3 linked regions of the Xenopus tropicalis genome follow. The protein of the gene in region 1 interacts with the protein of each later gene in a pairwise test. Links are inferred from orthologs where the notes say so. Each region holds a gene or a part of one and is shown on either strand. Other genes may lie near its edges.

Region 1 (8,070 bases):
TAGTATCTTACTAAGTATATTAATAAAAAATTTGGCCCACGACTTAGTCTGTGTTTTAGATTTTGGCCCCCTTATGTGATTGAGTTTGACACCCCTGACATAGGGGCTATTAAATAGCCAATTATAGCTCTCATTGGCACCTCCAGGAACTTTTTTCATGCTTATGTTGCTCTCCAAAACTTTTTTCATTTGAATGTGGTTTACTTCTACAAAATGATTGGGGATCCCTGCTGTAAAGGAACACTTTGAAAGAAAAAAAACAAAACTTTAGATCACTACTATAAATGTTCCAGATAACATATCTAAGAAAAAAATGAAAGTCATCCTACCATAATAGTATTAATGCTCTAAAGGTGATATGTGTCTCTGTGTGATCCTCCTTTAAACAGTGGTGTTAAAAGGGGCTCTGTGTAGCTTGCCATTTCTGTCTTCAGTTGCAAGCTTTTTTTTTTTTGTTACCTTTAGCGGTGGTATTGTACATTTCTTGTGTCCCCAAACTTACTCCACAGGTCCAAATACATACTTTGCCCAATGCATTTCATCTTGGTAGGCTTTCTAAAGTTATATGGTCTAACTAAACCAAACGACAAAAGGGAAAATTCCCAGTAGGTCCAGGCACAAGTGAGCTCTCCTTTTCTCCAAGAATGTGGCTTTCTATGAAAGTATTATAGCTATTCTCTTAGAAAAAATAAATAAATACCAAAAACAGAAGTAACAAAAAAAAAAAAACAGTGGGGGTAATTTACTAACATAGGTGCTCAACTGCACTGGTACAAGTTTACATCACAACCTATGGATATCAGATTTTGTAGGATTAAATCTGACCCACAAAAGTAGGGATGCACCAAATCCAGGATTTGATTCGGGACTCGGCCAAGATTCAGCCAAATCCACACTCTTGGCCGAGCCAAATCCTCAAAATCACATTACTTATGGTCACAAACACGGCTCTAAACCCTTACTTATCCTAATTTACGAATACAAATTAGTATTCAGACTGTTTGGTATTTGGCCGAAACATTTACGATAGCGGATTCATTGCATCCCTACACAAAATCTAATTTAAAAAAGTTACTCAGCAGAACTGCAAAAGAAAAATGCAAGGGTAAAATTTTACCTGTAGTTAGCTACACATATAAAAATCCACTGGTTTGTTCAGGCTGCGATGTTGAAGCAGAGTCAAGTCATATTTAAGCACCCAAAATAAGAAAATCTCTGCAGCCCGCCGCTGGATACTTAAGGCAAAAGCCAGCAGTGATACTGAGGGAGAACTTGATCTTTAGCGATCAGTGCATGCTCAGTACAGTAGGATTGCCTGTTCATGTGCTTATCAAAAGATGGAAGAAAGGGAGTGAGCTGAGCAGAGTCTGACTGGAGTGACTGGGGCCCACTGGGTACTTGACTTAAGGGGTCCACCACCCAGCCAGTGCTGCTCCTAGCTCACCAAGTTCCCACTCCGGAAGATGGCCGTTCCACAGTAGAACTTATGCCCATCTTTAACTTTTAAAGGAACAGTTCAGTGTAAAACTGAAACTGGGTAAAATAGACTGTGCAAAATAAAAAAATGTTTTCAATATGGTTAGTTAGCCGAAAATGTAATCTATAAAGTATTATGTAGGCAGATGTCTAACATAGTAGCCAGAACACTACTTCCTCCTCCTAAGTTGTTAACAGTCAGTTACCAATCAGTGACTTGAGTGGACATAACATTTTGCACAGTCTATTTTACACAGTTTCATTTTTTACTAAACTGTTCCTTAAACAGCAAAATAAGTAGCACAGCTAAGCAGGGAGAGGTGATGGCTGGGGCTTGCGGGCAGACTGGCATTCAAAACAGGCCATGGCATTTCAGGCAGAGATGCCCAAACCAAACAGCCCCCCATCAACCCACTAGTGACTGTCTATGGCATCTTACAGCAGCCTCTCTGGCATTTGCCAGCCAGGGCTTGGGTGGCAGGGTCTGGGCCCACTGAGATTTTTCCTGATATCCTGGTAGTCCAGTTTGACCCTGGAGCTAAGGTCCAGTGCTTAAGGCAGCACCAGACAAATTAAAAAGTTTAGCTTCCATACAGGGCCCAGTGGGCTGCCTATATCGGTCTGTGTATAGACACATGGAAAGACTAAGAATCCTATATATACTAGGGGCTGCCAAAATGTAAAGCACTACCCAGTGCATTACATTACTATACTATCTCCTCAGACCGATGCTCCTTTGTGTCCTTATTTTTTCAGATTTTAGTCTATTACACATGCTCAAATCTAAGTTTATGAAAGGCACAGCTGAACCACTTTTAGAAAGTTTCCCAAGCCAGTAGTGATGTCGGGGTCGACTTCTTGTCGACCTGCACCCCCCCCCCCTCTCCATCTGCACCCAAACTGGCCCGCAGCTTCATGTCTATTAAATAAAAAAAGACTCCAGTGATTAAATTCACTTAGAGGGGAATTTACATATCAACACTTCCCCTACCCCAATGACAAGGTTTCTTTCCCATTAAAGACACAACACATACAAGACCTTAACCACATCATCAAAAATAAGTCTACTTCTATAGAAATAGACCTAGCAATCTGTAATAATGACCACCCCTTCAGATCAAAAAAACCTTATAGAAGCCACTTATCATATACCTCTGCCTATGGCATGAATTCAAACAAAAAAAAAACCACTCATTGAGAAAATGAAATCAAATATCTGATAGGTTGTCATGAGCAACTGAATTGGTGATATGTAGTAGTTGTTATCTTAGTAAATCATCCATACAGAGAGTTAACCCATACAAAATGGCTGCAATGTAACCGATCTAGTGCTTATTTCATAATGCCAGCAGTTGTTGTTTGTCTGTTAAACAAGCAGGTCTGATGCAGACTTGCACTTTTTTGTAGTATTTTATTATACAAATTTTGAGGTGTTTATTGCGTCTCTGAATCCCAATAGTGTGTGTATTTGATGCATTTAATGTTCTAGCACCAAATATAAACCTATAGATAAGTATATCACATATGGTCACACCATGCTGATAGTTTGCATTAATGCCGTATTGCAGGGAAGTCCTACCTGTGGCCTGCCATCTGGACTAGATCTCCCTAAGCGCTAATCACTAATCACTTTTAATCTTCCAAGAGATGCTGAAAGCTCAACAGCTGGAGGGCCAGAGGCTGGTCATCAATGCAACACTGAGATAAAAAAAAATAAAGCCTGAATCACCAGACGCCACTCATTTTTTTGACTTAAATTTATATCTTATACTTACAACACCTGACCTACACCAAGGGACCCATAATTGTGATATCACTTTCTCATAACATGCTCTTTTCCACTTACACCCTTATTGTTGGATACAGTTTGAATCCCTTTAGGATTTGCTTGGCTCTCTCATCCTGAGACATGTTGAATGCTGTCCTTGATTTCCTTTATCAGTTGAAGGATTATCCCTTGAGATATACAGTTCAAGTTTTCCGGTCCTAGTTATGCAAAAGCTATAAAAGCCAGTGTTGAGTTTTACAGTGATTACAATAGACTTCTGGCCTCTGTAGATGATCCAGGTTTGTTAAGCCTGCATAAGATTCATACTGACACAACAAAAGTTTAGTTTGGTTTAAAATTAAATACGATGGTCTTGGAACAGTACTGGTATAAGTCTTGTTTAATTTAAATTTCAGAAAGTACATGCATGACGGTCTCTCGCTGGCCAGTAGAATGACAATAAAATAGGTGTGGCCTAACCCTAACTTGGACTGTCAGAGTAATTCCATTTCAGCCAGTGCTAGCAACAGCAACCAGCACAAGCAATCATAGGTGATCCAACAGTAGCTTCACTCTCTCAGTACATACACGTTTTAATATGCAATATCTTGAGATGTGTCCAAGTGCCAATTCTGGCAGGTGAGTTGGGGCCCTTGCAGCAATTGATGATATGGACAATACACAAAATATAACTGCAATGGTAGATGGTTTGAGCCAGAAAGGGTACAGGCAAGCGATATCAGCCAGTCAGACCACAGGTAGGCTGTACAGGCCAGACATAGTGCAGGTAGGTCGGTGCTGGGGTAATCTAGCAGCATAAACAGCTTCTATGCATTAAGTAGTAGTTCCACACCTATATCACACCCACCACATAGAGTAATAATCCTGAACAGAATTTGCAGTTTTACTTGCACCTGGAGGCGAGCAGCGTGGATTCTGCCTCTGACAGACGCCCTGATCAGCTTTCCGTAACACAGAGGTCCCAGGGCCACGGCACTGGGAAGAACTCTACAATGTTGCACTGCTTTCCGGAATCGTATAGTAACTACTCGTTATGTCAGCATGGATTTAACAACTAGCTCCTCGTCTACAGGATCTGGCTAAGAAGATTTACTAAGCTACATCAGTTCCTCCTATTTGCCCTATGACGTTTAGTACAGTTCAACAAAAAATGCTAGCACCGGCCAATCACAGTCGGAATCCCTGCTGAGTGATATCGCCACGCACCAATTAGGAGAGAGAGAACGTCGCACGCAGGGCGGGACAAATCGATTTCAAGTCTGGTTGAGTGCTCGCGCGTCACTAATTTGAGGAACCTCATGTTGCATAGAAACGGAGGAAAGTTGTACGGGACACGAAAAGGGTCAAAATACATTCACTGGCTACTTGTTCCAGGTGGTAATAGAGAATAATTGAGTTTGGGTGATCTTGCAAAGTTTACTTACTGAAGCAAAGCAATTTAGAGCACAAGTTCACATGTTCACAACTCGTGTAGGTAACTTAATGCATTACATGATGACTGTTAGTAACTACATAGTTGGGAAGATACTGGATTCTATTTTTTTTTATTTTAGGTTAAATTTACTGGCGCAAATTTTCTCCCCCTCTTATTCAACCATAGTTTACAGACCCGGACTGTGATTCAAAATAGGACATGGCATTTCTATTATACAGAGGCCCAAATAGCCCCCCCCCCCCTCCCCAATAAATAGTGACTTGTAGATTGTAAGCTCTTTTGGGCAGGGCCCTCTTCACCTCTTGTATCGGTTACTGATTGCTTTATATGTTACTCTGTATGTCCAATGTATGTAACCCACATATTGTACAGCGCTGCGGAATATGTTGGCGCTTTATAAATAAATGTTAATGTAATAATTTATAGTGCACATCAGGCATTTACCAGAATACACAGATTACCAGTCCAGGCCTGAGGGGCACCGAAATTATATTATATAATGAGAGGCAGTGGGTACTGACTCACAAAATACATTTTATATAATGGGAGGAACTACGTACTGAAAAACCAAATATAAACTGAGAGGAAGTGGGCATTGAAACACTGCCAGGAGAGCTAGTAGGGAGAGGCGACACAAAAATTCTCTTAACTGCACAAAAACTGGATACCTACAGTGGCTTGCAAAAGTATTCGGCCCCCTTGAACTTTTCCACATTTTGTCACATTACAGCCACAAACATGAATCGATTTTATTGGAATTCCACGTGAAAGACCAATACAAAGTGGTGTACACGTGAGAAGTGGAACGAAAATCATACATGATTCCAAACATTTTTTACAAATAAATAACTGCAAAGTGGGGTGTGCGTAATTATTCAGCCCCCTGAGTCAATACTTTGTAGAACCACCTTTTGCTGCAATTACAGCTGCCAGGCTTTTAGGGTATGTCTCTACCAGCTTTGCACATCTAGAGACTGAAATCCTTGCCCATTCTTCTTTGCAAAACAGCTCCAGCTCAGTCAGATTAGATGGACAGCGTTTATGGACAGCAGTTTTCAGATATTGCCGCAGATTCTCGATTGGATTTAGATCTGGACTTTGACTGGGCCATTCCAACACGTGGATATGTTTTGTTTTAAACCAGGGATCCCCAACCTTTTATACCCGTGAGCCACATTCAGATGGAAAAAGTTTTGGGGAGCAACACGCGCATGGAAAACGTTCCTGGGGGTGCCAAATAAGAGCTATAATTGGTTATTTGGTAGCCTGTATGTAGACTGGCAGCCTACAGAAGGCTCAGTTTGGCTTTACACTGGGTTTCATGCAACCAAAACTTGCCTCCAAGCCAGGAATTCTAAAATGAGCAGCTACTTTGAGGTCCCTGGGAGCAACGTCCTAGGGGTTGGGGAGCAACATGTTGCTCACAAACCACTGGTTGGGGATCACTGTTTTAAACCATTCCATTGTTGCCCTGGCTTTATGTTTAGGGTCGTTGTCCTGCTGGAAGGTAAACCTCCGCCCCAGTCTCAAGTCTTTTGCAGACTCCAAGAGGTTTTCTTCCAAGATTGCCCTGTATTTGGCTCCATCCATCTTCCCATCAACTCTGACCAGCTTCCCTGTCCCTGCTGAAGAGAAGCACCCCCAGAGCATGATGCTGCCACCACCATATTTGACAGTGGGGATGGTGTGTTCAGAGTGATGTGCAGTGTTAGTTTTCCGCCACACATAGCGTTTTGCATTTTGGCCAAAAAGTTCCATTTTGGTCTCATCTGACCAGAGCACCTTCTTCCACATGTTTGCTGTGTCCCCCACATGGCTTGTGGCAAACTGCAAACAGGACTTCTTATGGTTTTCTGTTAACAATGGCTTTCTTCTTGCCACTCTTCCATAAAGGCCAACTTTGTGCAGTGCACGACTAATAGTTGTCCTATGGACAGATTCCCCCACTTGAGCTGTAGATTTCTGCAGCTCGTCCAGAGTCACCATGGGCCTCTTGGCTGCATTTCTGATCAGCGCTCTCCTTGTTCGGCCTGTGAGTTTAGGTGGACGGCCTTGTCTTGGTAGGTTTACAGTTGTGCCATACTCCTTCCATTTCTGAATGATCGTTTGAACAGTGCTCTGTGGGATGTTCAAGGCTTTGGAAATCTGTTTGTAGCCTAAGCCTGCTTTAAATTTCTCAATAACTTTATCCCTGACATGTCTGGTGTGTTCTTTGGACTTCACGGTGTTGTTGCTCCCAATATTCTCTTAGACAACCTCTGAGGCCGTCACAGAGCAGCTGTATTTGTACTGACATTAGATTACACACAGGTGCACTCTATTTAGTCATTAGCACTCATCAGGCAATGTCTATGGGCAACTGACTGCACTCAGACCAAAGGGGGCTGAATAATTACGCACACCCCACTTTGCAGTTGTTTATTTGTAAAATATGTTTGGAATCATGTATGATTTTCGTTCCACTTCTCACGTGTACACCACTTTGTATTGGTCTTTCACGTGGAATTCCAATAAAATAGATTCATGTTTGTGGCTGTAATGTGACAAAATGTGGAAAAGTTCAAGGGGGCTGAATACTTTTGCAAGCCACTGTAGATGCTATTTAACCAGAGACAGGGAGAATGCCCTGTTTCTCTTGTGCAGGTCAGAGCGCAGAATGTGGTCAGATAATTAAGGGATCATTCCTTCAGAATCTGCTATGGCTGTAATTGAGTACACAACTATATACATTATCAGAGCTATAAACCCCAGGGGATTGTTGTGACATGCAAATCGCGCCGTCCATATTCTGGTGGGGTGTGTTGTTTGACGTCATCCCACATGCACACAATGCACATGACATCATGAAATGTTCACTGCACACTGCACTTTTTGCAATTGGAAATGATGTGTGCTTCTCTGAATACATGTGGCGTGATGTGGCTATTTCATTTATCAAGGACTGTCCAGTCCAACCACCCCCTGTATTCAGAGGAGCCCCAATTAGTTGTTGTAGGGGATGTCATTAGAAGCACATTAGAAGCTATTGTTAAGCAATGTATTTGGGAACCCCACTAACTACCAATGATTCATGATAAAGACAGGTATGAGGGCAAGATTGGTGCATGGGAATAAACATTTTTTGGGCCTGCAGTTCCAATGCCTATGTCAAAATGTATCTGCCCAATCAGATTTCAACTATAATAGGGAACAACAACATGTAACAAAACATGTATATGAGGGTTTTCAAAGGTTCAGATCTTTATAGCCATATGTTTAGCCCAAGATTCCATAGTACTACTGTAGAACTATTCAGCAGTGCATTGCGGAAATGAAAAAAAAAAACGTGTAACGTGTTCCTAACAGTTTTCAAGGGTGCAGAGCTTTGCCA
Region 2 (8,026 bases), on another chromosome or scaffold:
CTATTAAAAATGTATTTGCAGAATTAGGGCAATAAACTGTACATCTCAGCTATATTGTAGGTCGCTACAGTTTAGTTAGCCATACTAGACAACTAGTCAACAGCAATCAAAGATCAATCAACTGCAGATTGAACTAACCCACAGCAACACAACTCATATCATAACTTCTTTCCGCAAAAAGCTTTCTGAATTTCTCACACATGAACATACAGTACCATGTTAAGCACAATGAAAAATTGCTGAATGCAAAGGAGACTGGTAAAACCTTTCCTTTTCTGATCTACATCATAAGACATTATGGAACACAAAAAAATTTAATTTGTGGCTTATATAAGCCACAAATTTATATCCTCACGTCCTGCTGGGTGTGGTTTACTATGTACAGCTGTCCAGCTAATATCTAATACAGTGCTGTGCAACTTCTGTGGTACGGAGGGCCAGAATTTGTGTGGCCTACATGATGGAGGGCCAATAATGGAAGCCTGTTTTGACCACTCCCCTTTTTAAACCACACCCACTTCAAACAACACCCATGTTATCACAAGAGCTTTTAAGGCCATACACCTAATATTGGTAGCGCAGCAAAAACACAAATGGTTGGTGCTCACTGTAGGGATGTCACCCTTCATTTGTATGTGAAAGAATATTATGTCATATTAAGGCACACCCTTAAATCCATATGTCTTCTCCTCCCCTGTGGATAGCACAGCAACCCCCAGCATATAATTACACACCTTAGGGACCATATAATGACTATTTCCAAATGCTAACAAACTTCCAGAACAAACCCCTGGCAGGTTCACCTCCCACTGGCAGCATAGGGCAGGCAGAGTATGGCACACACTGGCAGCATAGGGCAGGAAGAGTATGGCACACACAGGCAGTACTCTGCTTGCCCTATGCTGCCTGTGTGTGTCATACACACAGGCAGCATAGGACAGTCATTACATACAGTGACACAATGCTGGCACTGCCCCTACAGTATGTCTGAGGTATGACTAGGAGAACAATGTGGGGACTTACAGTCTGAGCCTGAGGTGTGAACAATGCAGGAATTATAAGGTGTGAACAGTACAGGGGATTACACGTTTAAACAATACAGGGGTTTACAGTCTGAATCTGAGGTGTGACCAATGCAGGGGGCCATTTAATCTCAGTACTGATACCATTTAAAGTTTACACAAAGGTAAGCAGTCACATGCCTATGATTAAGTGCTTGGATGCACAAAACGCGTCAGGCGTTCTGGGTTTTAAAAGGATGTGAATAAAGATTGGATTTTATCTACTCTCTGGCGGTCTGTGGTGCTTCGAGAGCCGTTTTTCTTCTAAGATAAGCAGTCACAGCAGCCAAACAGGTGGGGGGCCACAGGCCGCCAGCTGGAAAACCCTGATCTAATACATAGACACTTTGGCAGTATTTAACCACTAAATTCACGATCTGGGCAGTAACAGTTTAGTCGATCATAGATCGCAAGTTTTGCAGCATGCAGCACTTTCAGATCAGTGAGAGGATATCTGTTTTGAAATGCTTCCTTCTTCTCCATCCCCATTCTCCTGCTCCTCTTTCTTTAAATGCTTCTGCTTTATCTGTTGGGCTTTTGCCTATGAGTAAGTGCTAGGTAAAGCATGGAGTGCCTACCTGTTAAGAAATTTTGTTTCTCTTGCTGTAGGCTCCTAAGCCTTACAATATAGTGATGTGTCTATGTCCTGCAAAATTCCTTGCTGTTAAGAAAGAAATTTTGCTGTGTCTGTATGTTTTTGGACTATGGGGCACACTAAGGCCTTGTAGACAGTATCCAGAACTGACCCCAGCATTGCTAACAGGTGAGCTGTTGCACTTCTCTCTTTCTCTCTGTTTCTTAAGCTGCCTTATTTTTTCATGTTGTCCTCATCTATAATCTTCTTCTGCCCAACCTAATTCCCAGGTGCTCTCTCATTCTCTTAAATGCATTTTCTATTTCTCAACAGACTTGTACACTGAATTGGTGTCAATGTTATTTATTACTACACTTCTTTACCACCAACAGAGTACCTACTAAGAAGTATGACAGGATGTGACTTCTGGTACCAAAGTTTAAGCTTCCTGTACACTATACACTCCTGCCTAACAACTCGCTGTTTATAATATAAAAGGCCTCTGTGTGAGGAGAAAAAGAATATCAGGCAAGCAAACGCAGAAAATATGGCAGAGGCATAAAATCATTACTGCGGCATGATCTAACAAAGACACTGAATGAAATGTGTAGTGCTGCAGCAGCAGTAATATCCCTGCCTGTGGGAATAAATGTGTTTGGTTTAGGGAAGGGGTACTACGAAAGGGGAGAAAAGGAGCTTGATGGAAATAGTTATAGGGGTGGCAGGCAGATTTAGTGAGCAATCACATACTAAGAGGTAACTGCTGCTGCCGCTCATCATCATCACAAGCAAAGCATTTAAAGGGAGAATGGGCAAATTGGGACATAAATATGTCTTTGAGGACACAAACACCTTAAAGGGCCACTACAGCCAAAGCTCCAAGCAGAATCATGCTTACAAGTAGGCTGTGACTTCTTTGGGTTATAGCACACAGGGACTTTCCCCAAAGTGTTCTAAACCACCTCTGACACCTTTTGTTAATGTTGTAGTATGCATTTTTAGACTAGAGAGTCCAAATGGAAAATAAAATTAAACAAATAGCTACCATTTACACTTTACATTAATAAGAGGTAAAAACATAACATAATAAATTCAGCCCTCTCCAAAATGTAATTTACCTATACTCATCCACAAATGCTGTGGACAAGTACTGCCTTCCATCCTCAGTCATTATAAATAGTGATTTGCACCTGCAACATTGCAGCAGCTGCAAATTTTTGTCACAACAAAAACAGCAACATATTTGGCCTAGTGATTTAGCTATAAAGCACAACATGCCCCAAGGCATATTAGAGCTTTTGTTAGCCCTTGCTAAAGTCCTAGGTTTGATTCTAAACAGTGGTGTTCTCCACATATCTGTGTGGGGTTCCTCTGGTAACGCTGATTTCTATTTAAAATCCCCCAAAAAACTCAAAAAACTTGAATGCTCTCCCAGAATCACCACATGTTGATGAAAAAAAAACAAAAACAAAAAATATATATTTTGGCCTACACTATTCATTCCTGAAGTGGGCTTAGTTTTCCTTTCAGTTCTCATGCAGTTGTGGTCAAGTCCACACCCTTATTATGATGCTATGTGCCAAGTCACTCCCATTTTTCAATACACATGTAATATGACAGTAAAAATTGCATGAAGTTGAATTCTATACAGAAAACAAATACAACTCTCTATATTGGCTGATGGATCACTAGCAGTTAATGTACAGAGGATTATTACATATGTGTCCATGTATGAGTGATGCATATTAACGAAACAGCTAGTGACACTAGAATGACATTCAACAAAATACCAAAGCTCACAAGTTAACACACCCCATCCAAAATGTGCACAATGCAAAGTAAAGAACATCACTGTTCAACAAACATTACACTACTAATTTTGACTAATAAGTTAAGGCGGGATTGATTTATTAGAATTATTCCGATTCTGCCTATTCTAGTCTCCGACTCAAAACATTATTTGTCACCCAAAAAACAGATTAAGCAACAATTCTTTTTTTTTTTTTTTTTTACTGTGTAGCTTTCTTTCCATACCCTCTCCTATTAATCTTCAGTTCCAACTGCCTGGTTGCTAGGGTTCTCAAGGCCTAGCATCCAGATAGCAGTTGAAAATGCCAAGTGTGAGATTTGGAGGTTTGTATTATGTTAATAATGCTACACAAACATGCAAAGAGTTATTATGCAGTTTGACTAACTTCTGACTGCATGCTCATCCATGTGTGGGCCACTGAAGTTATCAACATTGGTGATAACTCTCCCTATGGTAAGACACCAAAGTAGATTGGACATAAATGTAGACAAACTAGTTATTTGACTATTCCTGTTGGCCATGAGGGCAATGGAATTCTCTAAATGCAAAACTTTTTGCATATACTATCAATCTTGGGCAGCCTTTTTCCCCCCAACACTAAGGGGCACATTTATCAAAATGTGAAGTCAGAGCTTAGTACATAAAAACACACCCCCCTTCTATTTATTCCTCTGGGATTTTAGAAGGGCATTTACCAAAGGGTGAATGTAAGAACTCGCCTTTTGATCAATACACTTTTAAAAATCCCACAGGAATAAATAGAATGTGGGTGAGTTTTTATTTATTAAGCTCTAAACTCACATTTTGATAAATCTGACCCTAAATATGTGCCTTCTATAGGAGAGTTACCTATATGCTACTCACACTTAAATAGAAAGACACACTATCAGAAACACTCTTTTACAAAAGGCCCTGTACATATGTGTAACATACTAATACCCGGACCCTCTACTTCCTGTTCCCCATTGCTTGCTGCCCTGTACAGAGCTAGCAAGGAAACCTACCAAGACATAAAAGGAACTTTAAAGTGATAAATAAATGTTAATGTAATGTGTCTAAACTGGAACTTGCGTATCTGTCAGTGAGCTAGCCAATGACACCCAGCCTCAGTCACAAGATCCTGCTTCAGATGTGCAAAGCATAGGGACCGGAACCATTGGTTAAAACGCCAGTATAACATGACAAGCAGAGAGAGAAACAAGTACCCCACATGCCCAAGTTTAACAAGAGCAACAACCTGCTGGTGACGGCCTTAATGGGCTGACCCTGTATGTAGCACAGGGAAAGACTAGTCATTATGTAAATAGATCGCCACGGCTCTGTAACTCGCAAAGCTTGAGTTTCTGCGCTCACTGAGCTTGCTGGGAGCCGTAGAACCGTGGGTGGACCGACAGTGTCAAACGCCCAGCAGAATTTCCATGGAGGCACAAAAGTAACTGTGACAGGGCCGAGAGCAGGCAGAGAGTTAGTAAGCAGCCGGCAAACAGGCCTCATCCTCGGCCTTCCCTGTAATACAAGCTAGCGTTTGCCTCTGCCCTTCGCCTTTGCCCAGAACCCGCCTTACCGACAACTTCTCTTCTTTCCCACCAGGGGCCCGCAAAATACCCCGACGTCCACTCAGATCCTTTTTTTTTTTTTTTTTCTTTGCCGAGAAACTGTCTCTTCGTTGGATAACAAATTAGCGGCACCGAAACAATACGAAAAGAGATAAAACTAAAACAAAACCAAAAAAAAAAATAGTCCCGACAGCTGCCCAAAAAGTCACACAGAGACACGGGGACCCGCCTAACTAGGAGCGGGTACGCGCACTGCTTGCAGGATGGGGTAAAGGGAGGAGCCGGAGCTGGGGGAGGGCAAGCGACCCCATTCGGCCGAGGAGCAGCCAATAGGAAACGCGTAGTAGAGAGTGGCATGCGTGCTGGCTGTCTTTGTGAAGAACCGTTAGTGGGCTAGATAGATGGGAGCGCGCTTGGTAGAGGGTTCCGATATGTTAACTATGTACGAGAAGAATGTTCCTCTTCTGCTAGCACTTTCTAAAATAACTGATCTTTTACCGAATAAGATTCATGACGTGGACGTTTGCTGTATTTTACTTCTTTGAAATAAAGTTATTTGAAGTAGTTGTACGTGTGCGTATGAACATATCCAATGCACTCTTTTTGAGACTTGATGCAAGCATTGAGGCTTTCTGTGTAGACGCAGAACGCTTTCTTGGAGCTATCTGTAACACTAGGGTACAAGCTTTATAACCATAGCTTTGCCAGAGAGGTGACATTTTTTGAAAGTAATGGCAAATGTGTACATTGGCTAAATTCCTGCTGGAAAGCCCTAAATGTGGGGTAGAATTCTCTGGGGTGCTGGTTTATGTAGGATAGCTGCAGCGGTGTTTCAGATCATTCCTGCTGTAGGTGGAGTAGAGTTAAAATAGGGCAAAAGTGCATTGGATAATTAACAGCCACACTCACTTCTATAGATATTACCTAAATCCATTCAGGCCTATAATCATTGCACAATGATAATCTGACCTACAGTTCCAGGCAATTCTTATAGAAATGAACTAGAAGCAATTCAAGTTAGCTGAGCTGAAACTTTCTCATGCAACAAAATGCTCTACAGCGCTTTGTGTTGGTGGAATTTGCCACTATATAGCCACAAGAGCCCTAGTGAACTGGGATTTTGATGATAGGCAATCAAGCCTCAATCAATCAATTGTAGAGTAATGTAGCCTTAAGGTTTGCTTTCAGCAGAACCAGTGATCCTAGCTCAAACCATGCAGACAGTCACATATTATTATTTTTTCTTCCGCAAACAGTTGGCACTTTTTATTCAGTTAGGTAATATTCTCCTGGTATCCAAGAATAAGATCCAAACTAAACTAAGACTCATTCCTCAGACTGTAGATTATCCATTTCTATTACTTAAAGGAAAACTATACCCCCATAAAATATATTGCATAAACAAGCTCATATGTAAAACCCTTCTTCATCTAAATAAACCATTTTTATAAATATGATCCTTTTTAGTAGTACGTGCTATTGAGTAATCCAAAATAGAAAACTGCCATTTTTATGAATTAAGGGCCGCCTCCTGGGATCATAGGATTCCAGTTACAGTAAGAGCTTCATTATTTCTGGTTATGTGATCTCTGAGGGAGCACACAGCCCATCACTAAATGATGGATCAAGGGAAAGGATGTAAAAGGGAATACTTACTTATATATATTCCAGTTTGGTGAGATTCTTTAATAGTTCACTTAAAGCAGTTCATATGATATTTGACATTGTGCTTGGTCATGATAACCTGTGTTCAGCTGCTCACCCATAAAAAAAAAACCTATAATGTTTGTGCCGAAGTTGCTATCAGAGAAAGTGTCTTACTAATCAGTGAGAGTTTAATCTGAGGAGATGCAATTTTAAAAGGGATGCCCAAATACGTTATCAAAGACTCAGGCCCAAATTTATTATGCAGGTGCCCCAAGGCCAGCCAACCCCTGGAGGCACTTGCTTGTCAGTTTTAAACAACTGTAAAACCTGCATGTCCAGTCTTGTGCTCCGAAACATATGTAAATGTGTCTGGACGGCATGGTGCCCCTAAAATCAAGCCTACCATGACTTTTTTTCTGCAGTGCATGTTCTTCTTCCCAGCTTCTGCTTGTGGCCTCCTTCTAGAAAGTCCATGGGGTTCTTAATCTTTCTCACTGGGTACTAAATCTAGATGCTACCTTTGAACACTTTGCCTCCAAGTGCTGACAAAACTGCATGTTAATATAACCACTTGGCAGAAGCAACTTTACAATGAATATCTTGGATAACAAATAAGCACTTAACACCATACATCACCCAAACTAATCTTCATAGTGAATGGGACTCATCACCCATATATATATATATATATACATATCAGATATAATGTGTGTAAAATATGGGCATCATTTTTTCAAATTTAATTTGCTCTCTGTACAAATTAGAGGAGAGTTCCCTGTGCCCAAGTTTATCGGAAAGCTGGTGTGCAGTTACTTTGACTGCACAATTTGAGGTTTCCGTTCAGAAAACATAAAGGCACAGATAACTCATAGTGCTTCTGCTGCTCACACAGGAAGTTAGGTATATGAAAATTGGCTTTTCGGCTTAAACTATATGTTGTTGTATTTTTCGGTTCCAAATATTTGAATAAAGAAGTCTACATTTCTGAAAACAGAACAGAGCCTTCTACTATTTTTAGTCATTCATTTTATTTACATTTCAGAAGTTATAAAATTAGCAAAAACAAATGTTTATAATTTATGGTAATATAAAAAGGTGTGAAGTGCCTTATAGGGAACCTGTCACCCTAAGAAAAAACTCCAAATTCTTTTCTATCATGTTTGTTGAGCAAAATAAATTTCATTTACACTATACAGATAGTATTAATCTTGTTTCCTTTAGTCTTGGAACTATTCAATCACAGCAAGCAGGCAGCTGCCATTTTGTGGACACTGTTAGTAAGGCAAGCTTTGCATCACACTAAAATCTTGTTGGAGGGCCAGGTGCCCATACCCATGCACTGGCTACATAATTAGGTGATAGGGAGGGAGGGGAAAAG
Region 3 (8,026 bases), on another chromosome or scaffold:
GGGCATGAATAAAAATTTTACTAACTTCCATCTTCTATTTGGATTATGTGTATGTAATTAAGATGCCAAAATACTCTGTGGGAGTGAAAGTTTCATAGAAACAGTTTCCAGTCAGAAAAAGTCTTAATTAATCATTAGAATGCATCCATTGTAGCACCCCATTAGTAGAACCCTTGCAGGAACACGCTCCCCAAGGCTTGCCATCTCTAGAACAAGAAGATGTGCAACGTACACCATCGGAATGCCTGAGGACAATAGGGCAGGTGACTCGGCTTAGGATCACAAATCAAGGGACACATCCCCTTAATTGCTAGGTACATCTCAGGGATAACAGCCTGGCATTATTGCTCTGCTCTTTAAGGACTGGCTAGTGCCTGCTGCATCGCTTTCCCCAGGGGCTTTTATTGTACTGCGTAGAGCAGGCTGAAAGGGTATGTGCCACGTATGTGCTTTGCAATTCTTGCCACTGATCTGCAGCAGTGTCTGGGCTGGCGCTGCATAGCAAGTAGCCAGCAGGGCCGCTAAGAGATAAATAGTGCCACTGCAGATCTAGGGAAAAAAACAAGACTCAATAATATGGGTACGAGAGCTCAGAATTTCATTCAGGTTCTTCCGCTATGCGGCACTACAGCATTCTGAATACACAAAAATTAGAAAATTACTCAAATCTTATTTTCTAATTGCCCAATGAAGAGGGATGGTGATGCTGGAAAACCTTCCTCAGATTATACTAAACTGTAGGGGAAAATCAAGCAAATTATGTATCCAAGATAATGCTAGCATTGCATTACTAAAAAGACAGCCATGTAACTGGGAAATTTACTATACTCAGCTGTCCTAGTTGAAACAGCTGTAACAACATGTAGAAATGTGGCTGTTAGGGTCAAATTGACTTCCACCCTGTTTTGAGCTGGAGGGCAGTTTCAGCCCAGAATGACCAGCAGAACGGCACTCAGCAGGAAAAACCGGCCAAACAATAGACCTCTGATTACAGTTTACAGCCATTTCTAACAGGCAGAGTGGAATGTCAGCCCTTTCCCTCCTACAATTGTTTTACAACAACCTTCCACACCCCCTGCCTCAAAGGAGTCTAGATAAACAACAACCAAACTCTTCATTGTCTTGTTATCTGTATTACTAAAAGGCAACCACACCCCAAAAAGCACTTCAGGCAAGTCAGCCAACATGCCCAGGTTCCTACTCAAAGAAAGGTTATGGGCCAATTTTACTCTAATACCATTATTTGTTTTATATCTTTCAACCTTCAGGTGTGTAACAAGATTGGGAATCTGTATGCTAAATGCTTTAGATGCTTTAAATGATTAGTTGGATTTCTCAGGCCAAAAAAAGTGTTATGCCTTTCAAGAAGAGAAACACCACCTATACTTCTAGAAACGAGTGCTTATAATCAAGCAATACATCCTACTTCCAAGGTGATTGTGAATAGAATGATTTTACAGGTATAATGATCTCTAATGGTATTCTTTAATTCCAGTCTGTTTTATACCATTAAGCCATGAGAGCATTAGACATACCAATTGCTTGCTCCATCAAATCTTGTCTGCTTAATCCTGACCTATTTTACATGGACTATATAGCCAGCTCAAATAGCACTTAAGTGTTGTGTAATTGCTTTTTGCGAACCCACATTATACTGCACTTTTATAAGTGTATATATCATGTGAGTGGTTAAATGCTTTGTCTAAAAAGGGCATTCCAAAACAAAAAGGGCCAAAATTTCCGATTGGCTCTTTCCATTGCAAAGCAAGGTAAACAATCTACTTACAGGACATGCTGGTGTTGACAAACTCAGAGCTTTTTGAAGTGGAGGCCGACTGCCAACATTAACAGATTCCATAAGCAAAGCCTTTGCCCAGATCTAGTATGGTTATTGGTAACAAGTGTTTTGATCACAAATGTTTTTTGCTTCAGCACAGTACTGGTCAAAAAAGTCCTATGTACAATAGGCCTTAGGTGCACAATGTGAGAACCCTTCACAGACATCTTTGCCAGTCTAACAGTTAAAGTTTCTGTAAATACAGAATCAAGGTCTCTTATCTCTCTTCTACCACAGAACCCTGGAGGTCACACAGCGACCTTAAAGGGAAAGTAACACTAAACATTTTTAGGTAAAAAATCTATTCCACCCTTCCCCAATAATTGCCCTATCCTGCACACCATTTATTATTTTGAATGCTTTATCAGAAAATACCTGCTAAAACTTGGCTTCCGGTCATTTAAGGGTGAAGATAGACAGATTAGTCGCAGCAATTTTTGAAAAACCTTTTCATGGAGACTAAACACTGCAACGCTACATCCGCCCATAAATATAGAAGCGCACAATGCAAGCCTCCATTACGTTAGCGGAAGCAATTAGTCGCCACAACAGGATTTTTAAAATTGTCGCAACTGCCTTCTCCCTAAGGTAAATAGCACACAGATAGATATGTCATTTTGCACTCCTGTCCCTATTGAGAACCACCTGAAAGCATTCACACAGAAATGAGGAAGGCCAAATGCCCCAAATAAATGTGTTATTATCATAAGAAGTCCATAAAGGAAATTTGCTCAAAGGTATTGTTCCTAAGCAAAAGGGGAGTGATAAACTGCTGAGAGGGCTGGATTCATTGTTCTCTGGAACCGTTGCAGCAGTGCCATTTTCCACTATATATAGCGATAGTGAACCCATGACAACAGACAGGTATACCAAGTCAGAGCATATAAAGGCATTGCCATTTTAAAATATGCAAAGGACTGAAAACTAAACCTTCTATATTAAAGAGAATACATCACTTTTTGCACTAATGCTTTCCTAGGGAAGAGTAGTCATCATTTTATAGTCTGTGGCAGAAATGCCAAGGGTCCCATACCTGAAGTGTCCCACAGGCTGAGCTCCACACGCTGTTCTTCTGTCTCCAAACTGGCTGTGTAATTTTCAAATACTGTAGGTACATAGGTCTGAAAACAAGAGACACACATATATAGCTGTGACTTACTGACAACACTGCAGGCAACAGAGATATTTGAATGAAACACAATATGCTGGGACAGCAAACATAAACACAATTATGCAACTGTGACAGTTGGCATCTGAGCAACATATACAGATTCTTGTGGCAACACTGCTTGGTGACACCACTGCAGCCAACACAAGCACGCATGTCTCCACAATACCACTGCAACATACAGATGATAATGACACGCAAGATGAATGCACCATACAATGAGACAACCCAGACAAGCAGACAAAGGAGAGAAACCAGAGTCAGACTGAGGAACTTAAAACACCCAATACAACATTTTTTCACCTAAATAAAAAAAACGAATAAAATATTTGGCTTTGTTACCCTTTCAAACAAATTCATAAAGACCACAATATTATACAGGTATGGGATCTATTATATGGATTGCCTAGGACCTAAAGTTCTACAGGGTCTTTCCTTAATTAGGAGTTCCAAGTCATAAGGATATTATAAAACATTTAAATATTGAAAAACTTAATAGGCTTGTCTTGTAGGCTTGTAACTATAGATTTATTCTAAAAAAAAAAAAAAAAAAAAGCATTATCAGTCAGAAAAGAATTGTTGTTTAAACACAGCTGTGGAAAATGGCAATTCCATACTACAGCGCTTTCTGTATAGCGGGTTTCCAGATAATTGATCTGCAACTATTCTGTATGTGGTATGTTTCAAAACCAAAGTGTGGGTTACAATTATTCAAAGTGGTTTATTTATAAACATTTTAGACTGTAAACTGGGGCATCAAATGATTCCTAACATGAAGTCTATTCCCGTAAAGGAATTCTGAGAGTTACAGTTCAACAGACTGAAAGCCACAGGCTGGACAACACTGTTTTACAGAAAACACTGCAAATAAATGGGAATTATCTGTGAAAATGTATCTATATACTAGATTCTAGCTACTATACCGAACCAGCTTCAGTGGGTACATTGCTGGCAGAAGGAAAGCAGGGATGGCTAAATTCCTAAGTACAGTAATAAATGTATCTCAATCACCTTCTGCCTAAACATACCGTTTAGAGAATAAGAATGTTGGTGGCATAACTGCACAGGGTGTTGGGTCTGAATCTGCACAAGGGCCACACAGGCACAAACAATAAGATTGCACAGAAAATGCAATGTTAAATGGACCAATAGACTTCATACATAGGTTGAGGGTAGGGTGGATAGAGGGTGACTGGCAGAGGTTGGGGTGCTTGTTGCTGCAACTCTATACAAAAAAAAAACTCTTTATAAAAGATTATGGATCAGTGCCCATGGGCTTCTTGTTAAACCTCTACAAATGGTGAGCACAACATGCAAGTTGTTCTGGGGATCTGTGCCCTTACTAACAGATCATATAATACCAGTAAGATTGATTGTGGGTATAGCACAAGCATGGGCGCTTACATAACTGTACTCATGGATCTTCCAAATTAGCCTAATCCATCTGATCCATGGCAAAGGGGAATGCTTACCAGTGAGCTTCCAATCATATTCTACATGCTGCTGCGCATACAATACATTTAGGGCACATAGTAGCCACCTCACACCCTGTAGATAGGTAGGGTGGTTTCATTAAATTCTGCTATATTGGGGCAAACTTGTAATACATCACCCTTTGTAGTATTGAATAACCAACCTGTTATGGCTTTAATTCATTACCATCCCATACAAATATATAAATCAGGCAACAGCCATGTAAGTAAGGTATTATATAGCAAACATTATACGCCAGTCACATTTGGCAAGTCCCAGCCAGGCAGTAGCGCTAGAGGTGCTAGTAAAGCCCTCATGTAGAAAGGATGCAGATACAGTCCAGCAGGAGTGGGAACCAGCAGTTCCACATGAGTGCACTGGCATCTCAGCAATGTGACTTGGCTAATGGCAGGGCTAAAGGCTACTGTTAATCCAGCAAGGCGAGCATGCATACACATTACTAATACCCAAAGAAAAGGGCATTCATGTGAATCAGGCCATGGGGGGGTAGAACTCACCTCTGGGTAACAATCCTTTGCCAACACTTGCAGCATTGCCGTCTTCCCACAGTGAACATCCCCCACCAAAACCAACTTGCACCTCACTACAGCGGGCTGTGGGTTCCTTCTCTCCTTCATGGTGATGCAGGGAGTATGGTGGGACAAATCCAACAATGACTTTTTACCCAACTGATACAAATTCCCAACTCCTCCAACTTATAACCTCCGCGTCGCCGGTACCACTAAAGAGAGAACGCGACAGAGAGGTTTTATATAGGCATCCCTGAGCCAATCGCAAGGCAGAAGTCGGATGGACTTGGGCCAATTAGAGGCGAGTCCTGCAGGGATGCCCCGCCTCTAACCTGAGACTGTCTTTCTAGTCAGGAATGTGCCCGCCTGCCCGGGAAAGGGCGGCAGTGATAATGCTGAATACACGTGTAAACGCCCGCTCTTGCATAATGTGCCCGCTGGCTCTGCTCGTCCCATTCCTGTGGTGGGAAAGGAACTCGCTCTGGCGCTGGCAACAAATTGTTATTCGGTATAGGTACTTACTGTCTTATTTACAGTGGCCCTGGAAAGCAGCAGGCATTGCGTACGAATAAGGAACTGATTTACCTACATGGTTTCAGGGTTATGTAACTCTCTGACTAAGCGGCAAAACCGCTGTTTGTACCAGCACATTTGCACATATTTAAATAGGACGAGTCTGGCGATTCGCAGCCAGTGCTCCATGAGGATCTTTTTGGTGACTGCTGCAAGCGGGTTATGGAGGGTGGGTGCAGAGGAGTTGGGCATAGCAAGCATAGGCAGGGGGGATGAGAAGCAAATGCTCCACTTGCATGTGTTGGATCTACAACCCAAGAAAGATAATGGTTTTAACAGCAGGAAAGAAGATCAGAACCTGGGGCAAGGAGGAAAAACTCAGGGATCTGTAGGAAGGAGCCTCAAAGCAACTGGTAAAGAATGGAAATAAAACTTCCCTTTGAGTACTTGGCAGATGTATTAGAGAGGGTTAGATGACCTTTAGACAAACTAGAAAATACAGGGCAGTTAAATTTAGCTCTTAGGACAAAGTTGATCCAGGGACTGATCCCAAAGTCAAATTGGAGTGTACAGGGCCCACCGAGGCTGCTGCCCATGGGGTCCCCACACTCCCCAAGGGCTCCCCACACTCCCCAAGGGGTCCCCACGCTCCCCAAGGGCTCCCCACACTCCCCAAGGGCTCCCCACACTCCCCAAGGGGTCCCTGCTGCGGCCCCTACATCACACCGCCCAGCCTTCCCTGAGTGTGTATACATTTACGCTTCTCCTTGCTGGTACGATTGCCATCTTAGAATTTTTTTTATCATAAGGTAAATTGGAGAGGCTCCACGTGTTTGTTTTTCTTTTTGCCTTCCTGTGGATCAAGTAGCTGTTAGGCAGGTTTTATTTAGAAATACAAGGTTGTGAACTATGTAACAGGCACAACCCTTTGCTGCCCAGCTTGAAGGGGAACTTCATTTATTTCATGCACAATAAAATATAGGAATACTACTTTTAAATATGCATTAAATGGGTGTGTAAGGTTCACCTGTAAAATCTATGGATTCTGATAGGGCTGAAGGATATAACCATCATAGAGTCTGAGCCCTGGCTAATCAGGGCAAGAGGCAGGAAGGGACACTGGCTGCAAATTGTGCACGCAAGGCGATTAGTCGCCTCAACTTTTAATTAAGCCAGTTGCCATGACATTTCGCACATAGAGTATAATGGCCAGCGCTGCAACTAATCGCTTGCGCATTTCCTCTGCACAGATTAGTCGCTGCAACTTTTCTAAACATTGCGGCAACTAATCGCCCTGTGTGTCTTCGCCCTTAAAGCAAGACTGCAAGTGACAAATACAAATTAGACAATATAAATTAAAACACAAGGAAAGCTAAAACACTGGGGGTGGGGGTTGGGGTCATTTTGTTAGGCAATGCCTAGTGATCAAGTTCCCTAACCTTTCTCCCCAGGCTGATTCATCTTTTCTATACAGCAAAACAAACCGATCCTGGGTACTTTGTTGGGGAGTGCGATGTCACCATTATTCCACTGTATCCAAGTAATCCTTGGCAGGGCTGGATTTCCAAAAAATGACACCCCCTAGGCTAGCTAGCAGTTTTTTGTCCCCCCATGCACTCCGCTACTGTGTTCCAGAACACTATTAACTGGGCACAAACAACTGTTAATCTGCTGTGTGCCCAATGCCCAGTGCTCTGGAACAAACATGTATATGCAGACTGGCCTGGGCAGCATGCCACCCCTAAAATAATTTTCCATAGGCCCAGGCATTGTTGGCCTTACCGCAAATCTGGGCCTGACCATAGGCAGGCTTGAGGTGTGCACATACACAGTATATTCTATCCAAGAACACTGCATGTATGCCCAGCCCAAGACCATGCAGAAACTTTTTAGTTCACATAAACCTTTTAATAGTTAAGATCAGTGATGAAGTTAGCATTAAGTGTGTATGGGCCAAGCAGGAATTACCACCCACTCATTTACAAAGGGGCAGCTACGGAAACGGCATCCAAGAGATTAAACACTAGAAATATGGAAATCTGATTCTTACTAAATCTATGTAAGATTATAAACCTAGGGTTATATTGTGCTAATGTTTCCACACCCTTCCTGTTCTGTTTTTCCTTATTCTTCTGCCAGCCTCCGTAGGTGTAACAATTAGGGAAGCAAAACATTCTTTGTATATAGGGCCAGAGTCTCCTCCATATATACACTGTGTGTGTGTGAGAGAGAGATAGAGAAACAGAAATTGCTGAACAAGTGCATCTGTATATAAATGTGTGAATATATGTATCTAAATATATATAAGAGCCTCCAGGCAGAGAGAACTGTCTGTATCTTCCCAGCATGCAAGGACTCCCAGCAGACTTCATACTGTTTCAGCTGAATATCATGTGCCTTCCCCTTTGGATAACATTGTTGGTGACTGTTCTTTGGTCATTAATCTCCCTTGAAAAGTTTCCCCTGTAATACTTGTGTCTAGCATAAACCTACATTGCTGTACTG

What was found. The genes of interacting proteins can lie anywhere in the genome.
Region 2: the proteins of retinal rod rhodopsin-sensitive cGMP 3',5'-cyclic phosphodiesterase subunit delta (region 1) and rap1a interact in a two-hybrid assay, tested with the Homo sapiens proteins (2 studies listed by BioGRID). The link is inferred for Xenopus tropicalis from reciprocal best matches to the Homo sapiens genes PDE6D and RAP1A.
Region 3: the proteins of retinal rod rhodopsin-sensitive cGMP 3',5'-cyclic phosphodiesterase subunit delta (region 1) and rnd1 interact in a two-hybrid assay, tested with the Homo sapiens proteins (2 studies listed by BioGRID). The link is inferred for Xenopus tropicalis from reciprocal best matches to the Homo sapiens genes PDE6D and RND1.

What each region holds. Positions count from the first base shown.
Region 1 is NC_030681.2:101,177,976-101,186,045, forward strand, and holds the start of retinal rod rhodopsin-sensitive cGMP 3',5'-cyclic phosphodiesterase subunit delta, read right to left. Parts: upstream 4,414-8,070; 5' UTR 3,388-4,413; coding exon 3,341-3,387; intron 1-3,340. UniProt on the Homo sapiens protein: Promotes the release of prenylated target proteins from cellular membranes. Modulates the activity of prenylated or palmitoylated Ras family members by regulating their subcellular location.
Region 2 is NC_030678.2:59,457,854-59,465,879, reverse strand, and holds the start of rap1a (ras-related protein Rap-1A), read right to left. Parts: upstream 5,209-8,026; 5' UTR 5,010-5,208; intron 1-5,009. UniProt on the Homo sapiens protein: Counteracts the mitogenic function of Ras, at least partly because it can interact with Ras GAPs and RAF in a competitive manner. Together with ITGB1BP1, regulates KRIT1 localization to microtubules and membranes.
Region 3 is NC_030678.2:136,031,444-136,039,469, forward strand, and holds the start of rnd1 (rho-related GTP-binding protein Rho6), read right to left. Parts: upstream 5,209-8,026; 5' UTR 5,117-5,208; coding exon 4,997-5,116; intron 2,959-4,996; coding exon 2,871-2,958; intron 1-2,870. UniProt on the Homo sapiens protein: Lacks intrinsic GTPase activity. Has a low affinity for GDP, and constitutively binds GTP. Controls rearrangements of the actin cytoskeleton. Induces the Rac-dependent neuritic process formation in part by disruption of the cortical actin filaments.